3 linked regions of the Rattus norvegicus genome follow. The protein of the gene in region 1 interacts with the protein of each later gene in a biochemical or structural test. Links are inferred from orthologs where the notes say so. Each region holds a gene or a part of one and is shown in the gene's direction. Other genes may lie near its edges.

Region 1 (4,298 bases):
GTGGGGGTAGGGGCTGTTTCATAGGTTCTGCTTTCATCCTGAAACCGAGCTGAAGAGACATTTTCATCTATTGACATCTGTTCTGTCCCTCCTTAGAGCTTCTTATCTTTGAGCAATTCCAGTTTTAGAGCAGTCAGGGGCCAACACTGTTGAGGGTCAGCGAGGAGCTGGGTGGGATATGGGAATAAGAGGAACAGACACTGGTTTTGGAGAAGACAGGAGAAAGAATGAAGAAGGGGAGGTTGGAAATGGTTCGGGAGACACGGTGGTCTTAAGAGGCTAGACAACGGCCAAAGCCGCTGAAGGAGCATCTGGAAGGCGGAGATCCGAGTAGAGTTGTTTGTAGGGAGCCGGAATCCCGAGAGGCCAGGGGTGGGGAATGGGCTGGACCCGCTGGGTCCCAGCGAACGCGCTCAACCTACTCCTCTGCGAATTTCTGGGCCAGCCCAGCGCTGCAACCAGTCCCCGCTCCCTCCGGAGAAATTGCCAAATTAAAATGAATCATTTGGCCCATAATGGCCGAGGCGCTTATCGCGGACGGGCGGGCCCGCAGCGGCGCCTTATCTCCGCGGCGCACACGGCCGGAGCTAACGAGGCCGCGGGCGGGAGCGGGATTAGAGCGCGCGGCGATGCGCAGGCGGGGGCTGCCCAACATGGCCACGCGCGCCCCCAGGGCGTAAAACGTGAGCATCCCGGCCTTCTTCCCAGGGACAGGCGACAGCCGTCTCCCGTGGAATTGCCCGTCCGTTTCCTCCGTCCTTCCCCAAGCGCGCCACAGCCTCGGCTCCCTCTCCTCGGTTTCTTCCCGGGGGGCACTTTCCACGACGCCCCTCCGCTGCCCCTCCCGCCGGGGAGACTCTCTTCCTTCCTTCCCCTTTTCCCTTTGCGCAATAGACAGAAAATCGCAAGGCGCTGGCGGCTTCCATTGCTTCTGGGCGGTGTGTGCGGGCGGCCGGGTTGAGAGTGCTTGCGTGAGCGGCAGGCTGCGGTGGATACTCCCCGCGCGGGTTTTTAGCGATAGGTCGTGTGCGGGCGTGTGAAACCCTGCGCTGTTTGGGTGTGGAGATTCCGAGCCCTCTGCGTTTTATTCGTTGTATGTAAATTGCCCCGTTTCTTTTCTCTACGAGGTCGGTCTGGTGTGTCGCGGTGTGTGGCCTTGGACAAAGTGTTAGGCTGGCTTCGTAATGTCCGGCGGGTGCGACCCCCACCCAGTGAGGTTGTGTGTCTGTGAGCCTTTGCGTGTGACTGATGTTACAGTGTCATGTTGGACAGTATGCCGGTCTGCCTACGCCGGCTTGTGGGACAGAGCTGGCGTGTGTTCATCTGCTTCCCTCCTCTGGGGCTGGACCATGTGTGGTCCTGTCCACCAAGAGTCCTGTGCCTGTGTGCCTGTGTCCTTTAGAGGTGCGTTTGCAAATCGCTGGGGGCGGGAGTGGGGGGAGGGCGAGCGAGAGATCGCGGCGCTGGTGGGGGCGTCCACATGGGGGCGGGGAGCGGGATTTCACATTTTATTCCAAATTATGATGTATTCGGGAGCCAGTGTTGGCTCGGATGGATGGACAGAGCCGAGTAGGCGGCAGCTCTGTCCAGAGGCCGTCTGTGCCTTGCTGTTGCGGGGTCCCCTGATGTGTGCGTGGGGGCTTCTTCTAATCTGGAAGATGAACCGCGCTCGCTGAGGCCAGCGTCTTCCCGCCCGCAGCGCCGGGCCTGGATTCGCGCTGCGATCAGGTTTCGCCTATTTCTGGTCAGTTTCGCGGGTGCGTCCGCGGCGGTTGGGAAAGAGGCCGGGAAGGACAATGGGCACACTTTCCAGGTCTGGTGCCAAGGGTGGGGGTCCTCCGGATCATCCTGGGAGACATTTTTTTCAGTCCCTCCCCCATCCCGGTCGGGTCCAAACCCCCTACCGGGGTTAGCTGCCCTAGGAGTCGGCTGACGTTGGAAGGGCCCGTCAGGGCCACCTTAGCAGGACAAGAAAGGATCGCGTTTTTCTCTTTACTGCGATTGTTAATACCTTCGTCATCAACACCATTAACACCCGCTTTTAATTAAAACAGTCGAACAAAAAGCTCACCAGCCCGTCCTTTAGCGTCTTTGGAGGAAGAACAAAGCAGTCCTGTCTTAACGCCCCTCCCTAGCTGTTTTTCTTTTCTTTTTTTCCTTCCCTAACCTGCCAGGTTTGGGGTAGGGAAAGAAAATGAAGAGGTAGTGGGAATAGAGATTCACTTCATAAAACAAACATTAACCTCAGGTAACACCGGGGACGAGTGGACTCTCCGTGTCTCCCCCTCCCCTCCTTCTCTGGGTTAGAAAGGAGAAAGAAAACCTCCCGCACTGAATTGAAACCCAGGGAGGTGGCAGTTCTGAGCTTCCGCCAAAGCCGCAGCAGAGAGAAGGAAGCCTTCGCAATTAACCCAAGACTTCGATGTGCCATTGGATGGTGGACATCTCAGGCAAAACAATTTAAAAAAAAAAAAAGGAGGCGAAAAAATAAAAGCAAACGAAATCCAGCTACCACTCTCTTGGAAGCGGCGTCGGGTCTGCTTTGACCCATCTTCCCCCTTGCTTTGTTCATCTCTGCAAAACACCTTCTGCTAGTCAGAACCCCGAAAAATCGAAACTCTTTTTGCAAAGGTGGTGGAGGAAAAGGTGTAGAGATGCCCTCTTTTATATCTCTTCCTCCATTAGAAAGAAAACAAGGGACCCAACTAAAACAGATATAGCCCTCTCCCTTTCATCCCTGCAGGGAACTAGGACCTTTGGAACCGGATTCTGCCTTCGTTCTGGGCAGGAACTTGATAGATGGGGTCACGAAGAGAATAGGATGAGGGTTCCCTGGTTCTGATCCAGCAACCAAGGCCTGAAGACTCTTTTTTTTTTTTTCTTTTCTTTTCTCCCCATCCCGTCCTCTCCATCCGTATCAAATAGGGAATTACACTTTCGTGCTTTGTCGGCAATCGGAGCAACCCGCATAGAAATGTCCATGCTTGGAAAACAAATTCGGCCATACTGAATTAGACAGATCCGTTAGAGGGTTCGAACGTGTTCTGGGCAGCCTGCCGGGAGAGGCTGTTGTTGTTGGACTAAGTAGTTATTCCTGATTGGTCAGGTGTAGGGTTCATTTTTTTTTTTTTTTAAATCGGGATGTGTTTGGGGGAGGGGGGCTCCAAACACCTGCAAGTTGGAGGCGGAAGGCCGTTTGCTATTCTTTGGGATGGCGGGGCACACGAGGTAATTCCCAGCCATTGACCCCCCATTTTCTCTCTCGCCCTCCCTCTTTCTCTCCACCCCCATCTTTCCTGGAAACTCGCTTTGGGCGCGGCAGACCGCGTAGGACCTCACGGCAAGCTAAGTAACTGCTGGTCTCTCAGCGAGAGCCTGGAAAACACAGCTCCGGGGTCCTACCTCGACCCCTCTCCAGCGGAGGAGTGGAGGTCCTAACCAGCCGGGTCGGTCTCTCTAAATATGCCCCAGGTTAGTTGCGGCCTGGAGTCCTGGGGCGGGGTGGGGTGAGTTTGGGAGGGGGCAGTGTCTGTGGAAATAACACTATTCTGGGTTGTGGACTGGGGTCGGGGAGGCTCAGAACTGAGAAGATTGTCAGGGGTGGGGGTGGGGGAACCAACTTAGGCCAAGAACCCGCTATCTGACTGCCACTAAACTGCCTCAGGCCTCCAGCAGGGCCCTTTCCTTTTTCCGGCCTTGGATAAAACCAGCTGGTTGGATTATGTCCTCCAGGCCGCTCCCATGGTCCCGGTTCCGAGCACATTTCACAAGGCCGGTAACTTTATTGTGGCTATATCCGGGTGGCGTGGGGGCTGCGCTTGGAGCTCCAGACAGGAAAAATGGCCAAGACCATCCCGCTCAGGCCTAAGGCCTTAGCTGTGCTGGACCGCATCTCCACTGCTGTGGTGGCAAAGATAGTGCGTTGCTTACTGGCGGATTAGGTTTTGGTGCAGGCTTTGTGTTTCTCCACCGTGTCTTGCGCATATGAGTGTGGAGGGATGGGAGGCCAGCCAAGTCTAAGGCCGACGCTATTTCTTTTAAAAATGAGTAGATTTAAAAAAAAATCTCCGAGCTATGATTTGGGGTATTAGGAGTTGCTGGAGATGATGCCGCCCAGAAAGGAGCTTTCTGATCCCGTTGTTCAGGTGAATATTGTCACCTGCTGGCATTGGGGCAACTGGAAGGTGAAGATGAGGTTGAGGCTGCAACCTGGGTCTCTGCAGCACAAAGAGCTGTGATGGTCGAGTGCTCCAGTCTAGCCCGAGCCCCCTCCCCTTTCCATTCTCCCTTAATAAAAA
Region 2 (4,100 bases), on another chromosome or scaffold:
TCTGAATGTGAATGCACACTCAAGGTTTATTTATACAGTGGTCTGTGTGAGCTTTTCTGCATCCCTTCCTCCAGTTTAAAATGTCCCTGGATCTACCCGGCCGACCTGGAATACATTTTTTTTTCTCTCATGCTCCGCCTTCCGGAGGCTTGCCCAGGCGGTGACATTTAAAGGCCTCCGCTGGGTTATCTCCGCCCCCTGAGGGCTGCGGATTCTGGTTGTCCCAGTGTCACAGTATGCAGCCGGCTCTGGCGACTGGCTAGTAATATCTGGGTTTTTTGTATCAGATTAGAGCTCCAGACATTAATTTTGGAGTCGGCTTGCTGAAAGTAGCTGCTGAGTGCTCCAGATGGCTGTGTTTAGAAGACCGTGAAAGTGTAAAAATAAGTGGGTAGGAAGGACGAGGCTTTCTGTCATTGTTTTGGTTAATCCTCCAATGGTGGTAATACTACTGCCTTTTCCTTTTCAAATCTCAAAGCCTCCGGTTTCGACCGCTGCGCTGCGCGCCATCTCCGGTCCCGGCCTTGGAACGCTGAGCTTCAGTCTCCAGTGTAAACATTCCACAAAAGGACTGCTAAGGTTCAGCATCCTCGCGCAGGGCGGAATGGTCTCCTTCCTGGACCGGCGCCGTGTCCAATGGCGGCTCCTACCGGCGCCAAGATAGTCCAATCAGATCTTTGGGGGCGGAGCCTGGCCCAGCAGTGTAGTGGGTGGAGTCGGCCTCACTTAAGGACATTTTTACCCCACATTGGTTACTTACCTTCCTAGGGCTATGAGAGAAGCAAAGGTAGTCTTCCAATGCGGGAACCGGCGGAGGCGGGAGCCGATTTGTTAGGCCTGTGGCTGGGGCGGTATGGGGAGGGATATGTGAGACTCTCCAATGAGATGTGACGAGGTACCCTTCTTCCTCCAATAGTATTGGAGCCTGGAGGAGGGATTCGGCAATCAGTCTCCAATAGGCGGGGTTGAGTTAGGGACTCTCCCCGCCAATAGGGGCGTGGAGAAGGTGAGCGGCTTGCTCTCCCCTCCCAGCGAGGGAAGAGGGCGGGAATAGGCCTTTGCGGCACGGTGATTGGCTAAACCATTGACGGATGGGTAATATATCCCGTGGCGGAGCGAGGTTAAGCCTTCCCTCGGCGGGGCGGGCCGGGAGAGTGGGCGGGATTTCCCGGGTAACAGAGAAGCGGCCGCGGCGGTAGAGGCGGCAGAGACGGTTTCTCCATCTTCCCCCCTCCCCTTCCCCCCTTAGAGTTTCCCTCCCTCCCTCCCTCCTTCCCAGTCTGGACACCCAGGCCTGTGACCGCTTCGTAGGCGCAAAGGAGGTTGCCAGTCCGCTCTTGCGGGCCTGTGCCCGCGCCGTTCCGGGGCCTCCGTGCTGGGTGCGAGGCTCACGCCGGGAGCGACGCGCAGGCTGAGTGGCTGGAGCTTTTGCGGTGAGAGCACGCCGCGTCGCGGTCTGCCCAGCAGCTGGGTGGCGGGTAACCCGGGACTGGAGGGCGTGTGTTTTTCGGGGGGGCTGACCTCGGCTTCCCGTGCGTGGCTGTGGGGGGCGGAGCGGAGCCGCACTCAGTGCGGGAGGGGGAGGAGAGCGTAGTCCCGGTGCGCACGGAGGGGCGGGCCCTAGTCCCGCCGATCAGAGGCGGGGCCGGCGCGCGTGCGGTGGTGGAGAAAGGGGCGGGGCGGGCTGGGACTAAAGGCCCGCGGCCGTGGCCCCGCCCCTTCTCCCCTTGTGGGCGGGGACACGGGTTGTACTGCTTTGGGTCCGCGGGGTGTGCGGGACGAGAAGAGGGTCCCGGCGTGTGGCTTTTAGGGCGCGGCGGCGAGGGGGCGTGAAGCCTGTGTTCCCCCGCCTTAGCGGGATCCGGTTGGCCGGAAGGCGCGTCCGGGGCTGTGATGCCACGCCCCTCCCGCCCCGCCCCCGCCGGGATTTCCGCCTCCTTAGCTGTGAAGCATAGCTGGGGAAAGCCCGCTGTAGCGTCTGGCAGGGGTCAGGGTTCCGTGTCTGCCCCGCCCTGCGTCCCTGTAGGTGGGAAGGCCGCTTGTAGACTGGGAGCGGTGGAGGTGTCCCGACTTTCTGCTGTGGCTTCTCCATCCATTCTGCTTGGGGCATCGTGGCCCGGAGCTGTAGTCTCTACTTTGCTTCACGCATCGTGAATGGCGCCTTAAAAGCTATGGAGAGTAGAAGCGTGGTCAGCTGCTCCTCTTAGTTGTAATTATTGGGACGAGAAACTCAGCGTCCTCTCTGGAGTGTCTGCGGTGGGGTGCGGCTGGTGCTGGGCCCATGCTTCCCCGCCAGTGGCCGGTGGGGGAGGGGCAGCGTACTCAGAGACTGAGATTCTGGAGGGCGCCAACCTTTCCTAGAGTTCCCTTGGTGTTCAGCTACTGTGCCTTAACAGAGCTAAGCTGTGCACCCATGGGTAGATAGCTAAAATTTGCTACCATTTTTGGTACCTCAGGACTTTAAACTCAGTTTGCCGTTCCAGCTCCTTATAAAGCTGAGACTGTATTTCTAGAGAAAGGATTGAATTTACTTCTTAATCTTAAAACTGGTCTTTGGCAGAGATGATATTTGAAGATGATTGTGTGTGTCGGAGTTTATTTAAGGCACATAAGTATTGCTTCACCACTAGGTTATACCCCAGGGCTGATTTTTTTTCCTCTAGTCAGAATTTTTCTTTTTAATTTAAGTAAAATACTTTGATTTCTTGATTTTTTTTTAACCTACAGAAGGTTTTGTTATATAAGCTTAGCTGCACAAAGGTAACTTAAAATTTTGTGTTCTCTTTTAGTTTTATGTAATTGTTAGTCCTTAAAGATCTTTTTAGATGCTAAGTAGGTTGAACCTTATGAAACCTATGTGTAGCATGACCTCCCAACCTGTGTTACTTTGGCCATTGTGGATTTATTGCACAGGTAACCTTATTAGGTGGGTTGGTGTTAGCTGATCTTATTTAGAGAACTTTTTATGAAAAGTAAACACTGAATCCTTAATTTATGTATTGATGTCTGAATGAGTATGTATAAACCACTTTTAAAAAAGATTTATATTAAAGTGTGCGTGCGTGTGTAAGGCCAGAATAGGATGTTAGATCCCCTGTAGGTGGAGTTAACAGGTGGTTATGAGCCACCCGACATGGGTTCTGGGAACCCAACTTAGGTCCTTTTGCACGAGCAGTCTGCAGTCTGTATTGAGCCGTCTCTAACCCCATCGTTTATATGTAATTTCTGAAGCTAAATTCTGGATTTGTCCTTTGTTCAGTAGAGGCTGAAAACCATGCCCTGTGCCGTACATAATGAAGAGGTTAAATATTCACTTTTCAGCTAAAAAAGTGACAACAGCAGTAGTAACAGAATTGAGGTGGAGGCCAAAAGATAAGAACTTGGGTGTCTTACAGATGTAGCACATTGAAAACGGTAGTAGAGAATGCTTAGCCTTTGAGGAAAGTTTGCCTAACCTCAGTTAATTCTACCATTTGAAGCACAGTCTGGGAAATACAGATGACCTAATTCATATCTTTTTTGTTTTTCTTGTTTTGTTTTTAGAAACAAGAGTTTAACTGTAGCCCTGGGTGTCCTGGAGCTCACCCTCTAGACCAGGCTGGACTCAAATTCAAGAGATCTGTCTGCCCCCCAAACGCTGGGATTAAAGGCATGTGCCGCCACTGCTGGGCATAATTCGTACTCTTATAGAATGTGTATTCTAGATTGTGTGCTGGAGTCACAAGTCCTAGGCTTTAAAAATTCAAGAACCTAGTTATATTTGTTTGCTTTTGTTTTTGTTTTTTCTATTTTTACATTTCCATCCATCAGTACTATATGTTTATTTTTACTTACTAGTATCTAAGAGAACCTGAGTTCAGTTTTTAGCACCCATGTCAACATGTATCTGGAGCTCCAAGTACTGACACCTCTGGCCCCTAGGCACCCAGACACAGGTGCATACCCATATATCTATACACGTGTGAAAAAAACAGAAATATAGCTTTGAAAAATGTTAATACTTTTAAATTCAGGCCTTAATAGTTCGCATAAAGAAGTTTTTTTTTCTTCTTTTTTTTAAGACTTGAGATCGGTATTAATTAGATTCCTGGCAAAGCACA
Region 3 (3,572 bases), on another chromosome or scaffold:
TCAAAGTTGGCTGGTAATAACATCAGCCATCTAGGCATCAAACATGATGGAAGACCTGTGGGTGATTCTGAAAGCCCAATGTAAAACCTTGAGCTATGCAAAGGGAAGAGATTTGATTCTGAACTGGTGCACTTGAACAGGCCAAGGATCTTGGTTAACTTTCAGATATGAGAATATGAGGCTGGAAGCCCTTATGTATACCCTATAGAAAAAAAAAGACTCTAGTGCCCCCCCCCATACACACACCAACAGGGATTCTCTTTCTTGCCCTGGCTGTCCTGGAACTCACTCTGTAACCCAGGCTGGCCTCAGACTCAGAGATCTGCCTGCCTCTGCCTCAAGAATGCTGGGATTTAAAGATGTGTGCCTCCACTGCCCGGCAACCCGGCAACTTCTAGTGTATTATTTAAACTATTTAAGGTCTTAGCCCACGTCACCCGTAACTCTATATACATGAGAGGCTGAGGCAGAAGAACTGTTCCAGACCAGCCTGGGCCTAGTGAGATCTTGTCTTAAAATTTAAAGGGACAGAAAGGACGTGTGAGCTGCCTCAGCTGCTAATGGTGCTTGCCCTGTGTCTGATGACCTGAGTTTGATCCCTAGAACCCACTTGGTGGAGAGAGAACCGGCAGTTCAGGGGCTAAGAGCATCTCCTACTCTTATAGGAGACCCAAGTTGGATGCTTAGCACCCATATTGGGTGGCTCACAACCCTCTGTGACTCCATTGCCAGGGTATCTGATGCCTATGGCCTTCTGGGGCACCTGCCCTTGTGTATATGTACCCACACACATACATACAATTAAAAATAAAATTAAATCCTTAAGAACAATGCAAACAAAAAGAATGGAGAAAGGAATCACAGTGAAGATCACTTACCTAAAGTGACGAGGGACCCGGGTTTGATCGTCAACACCGAAACAACAAACGACACCTAACACTTGACTTGATCATTGTTTTTCTCAAAGAAACTGAGCTTCGAACTTCCTGGTTCTTAAAGAAGGTAATCTTATATTTTGTGCTATAATGGTGGATTTGGCATTAGTATTTAGCTACATATTTACAACGGATGGGTCACCTGAAGATGCTGGAGTGCCCTGTGCACAGCCATTCCCCGAGTCTCACTGTCCCCAACTGTAATGCTGCTGAGCCTCATGGGCACAGGCCAATTGGGCCACAAGGTCACTTGGGAAATGTGCCAAATAAAGATCAGAGGCACAGACGTGTCGCCCAGGGTACCCAAGAGGAAACGCCATCGGACATTCCATCAAAGGAATGAAAGCTAATTTTAATTTGAAAAAAAAAAACCACTAGATTTTTTTTAAAAGTAGGTTTTATTTGAATAATGTTCCAGGAGCACATTAATTATTACAAGTCAACAAGCATTAAGTGTCTCTGTCTCCTATTTGCTATCACAATCCTTTCTCCCGTGCCATTTTCCCTCAGAAAAGTTATTTCTTCTTACATGTAAAACAAAAGTATTCAGGTTCTAGGAAGGCAGAGCAAGCAGAGGGCCCTATGTATGTGTATCTTTAAAATAGTTTTTACTGTTCGTGTGTGTGTGTGTGTGTGTGTGTGTGTGTGTGTGTGAGCACATGCACTTGCTCTCGCTTGCTTGTGTGTATATCTATATGTATGGTTATATATAGAACAACCTGCTGGCGCTTTCTTTCCACCGTGTGTGTCCTGAGGACCACATCAGATCATCAGGCTTGGCGACAAGCACTCTAACCTCATAAGCAGCTTGTGATTCCCAGCATACAACTTCTTAAATCCAAGAACACATCCCTCAGAATCACTGTGAGAACAGAGTGACTTTGGTATCAGTTTAATCGCTTTCCACTCCTTTAGGTCCATCGTGTGGTCCCCTCTTCCACTCTCTTTACTAATTTAATTTTATTCACACTACTTTTGCTACCCTGAAAAAGTATGAAGAAAGAAAAAACAACTATGTCTGCTATCTGTTAAGAATCACACCGTAACCTAGATTTCCTCCCAAAGATTCGTTCGGATCTAGTATTCTTCGAGACGGTGTCTAGTGTAGCCCTGAGCCTCTGGATGATGCTGATGAAATCCTGCTCCTCCAGGTTCCGCCTCAGGATGCGCTGGGATTATGTCCCCACTTTCCATGGCACTGGAGAGGTGACCGTTGGGCCTCTGATAGGTTAGGCCATCCCTCTACCTATGAAGCTCATCTCTAGCCAAAGATTCATGCAGAATGTAAGAAAGAATGCAAAAAACTTCAGTTGGAATAATTAGATATGGATGGAACTTTCGGTTTTGGAAAGAGACAGCAACCTGATGTAATCTCGGTGGCTTTCTTCTTCTTTCTCTTCCTTTGATTCTGTGCAATGGGAAGGGCTTCAGTAGGGTGAATCCAACAGATTATCTGTAGGTTTTAGCACACTGGGTCATCAGATGCTTTGACTATGAGCAGCTCCTTTGGTCCCAAAGTATATTCTTAGGATTTGGCAGTTCCAAAGAAGAAAGGGAGGGAGGGCTGGGAAGACGGAGCAGAGCAGGAAGGGAAGGTGGAAGAAGCAGACAGGATCAGAGGTGCCGACGAGGCAAGGGACCAACACTATCTGCAGGGCCTTGGACACCTCCTGGTATTCTGTCTTCAATTTTTCAGATGCTAAGATCTCTCTATCCCATTCCCATTTTATCCAAGGTTGCCTGTGTCTGTGCAGTCTGAGTTAGGGAGTCTTTTATCCTTATTTCCTGGAAGGAAATGTAGTGAGGTTCCCCACAGAACCCTGAGCATGGAGCAATTCCTGAGACCTTGTGCTTGTCTCCCTTTGGTGAGCTTTTCCTAATGCTTGGCCCCCTCCCCAGGGAACCCGTGGATGAGGTGCTGCAGATCCCCCCATCCCTGCTGACATGTGGTGGCTGCCAGCAGAACATAGGGGACCGCTACTTCCTGAAAGCCATCGACCAGTACTGGCACGAGGATTGCCTCAGCTGTGACCTCTGTGGGTGTCGGCTGGGAGAGGTGGGCCGGCGCCTCTACTACAAGCTGGGACGGAAGCTGTGCAGGCGAGACTATCTCAGGTAAATCCCTCACACTTCTGGGCACATCTGGGTTTGGACACATAGTCTCTGGCTCCCGCTTTGGCTCTGAGGTGTCTGCCTAAGGAGGCTAGGCTGTGGAGGCTGAACCTCCACTGCCTCTTCAGAGAAGCCGTGAGCTCTTCCTTTGCTGTGGCCATGTTTGCAGAGACACATCCCTGCATGGTAAATCACTGAGGTTTTTAAAGGTAAGAGAAGAATAAACACGGAATTCAGAATAAGGACAAAATTCCGTGGGGGCAGGATAGGGTTTGGAGAAGTATACGTAGGGAAATATCAGGGGAACTAAGGGAAGAGAGGGAATTCGCTTATAAGTTTGGGAGTGGGTTCTCATTTGATACTCAATGAACGTATGCATATATGTAGACATTCCTTTGCATGACTCCAATATTGTTGATGAGAACTTTTAAAATAGCATTCTGTTCTTGAGCCCTGAGCACTGAGTTTCCTAGCAGGAGGCTAGCATTCAGCAGTTACAAAGGTGAAGACACTGGAGTCGGGAGG

Evidence for each region.
Region 2: the proteins of Tal1 (region 1) and Sin3a form a complex in vitro, tested with the Homo sapiens proteins (2 studies listed by BioGRID). The link is inferred for Rattus norvegicus from reciprocal best matches to the Homo sapiens genes TAL1 and SIN3A.
Region 3: the proteins of Tal1 (region 1) and Lmo2 form a complex in vitro, tested with the Homo sapiens proteins (2 studies listed by BioGRID). The link is inferred for Rattus norvegicus from reciprocal best matches to the Homo sapiens genes TAL1 and LMO2.

What each region holds. Positions count from the first base shown.
Region 1 is NC_086023.1:133,822,991-133,827,288, forward strand, and holds the start of Tal1 (T-cell acute lymphocytic leukemia protein 1), read left to right. Parts: upstream 1-1,473; 5' UTR 1,474-1,744; exon of another isoform or gene 1,745-3,211; coding exon of another isoform or gene 3,212-3,228; intron 3,229-3,322; 5' UTR 3,323-3,471; intron 3,472-4,298. UniProt on the Homo sapiens protein: Implicated in the genesis of hemopoietic malignancies. It may play an important role in hemopoietic differentiation. Serves as a positive regulator of erythroid differentiation.
Region 2 is NC_086026.1:66,380,487-66,384,586, forward strand, and holds the start of Sin3a (paired amphipathic helix protein Sin3a), read left to right. Parts: upstream 1-1,296; 5' UTR 1,297-1,433; intron 1,434-1,521; exon of another isoform or gene 1,522-1,780; intron 1,781-3,543; exon of another isoform or gene 3,544-3,649; intron 3,650-4,100. UniProt on the Homo sapiens protein: Acts as a transcriptional repressor. Corepressor for REST. Interacts with MXI1 to repress MYC responsive genes and antagonize MYC oncogenic activities. Also interacts with MXD1-MAX heterodimers to repress transcription by tethering SIN3A to DNA.
Region 3 is NC_086021.1:110,824,447-110,828,018, forward strand, and holds part of Lmo2 (rhombotin-2), read left to right. Parts: intron 1-2,834; coding exon 2,835-3,050; intron 3,051-3,572. UniProt on the Homo sapiens protein: Acts with TAL1/SCL to regulate red blood cell development. Also acts with LDB1 to maintain erythroid precursors in an immature state.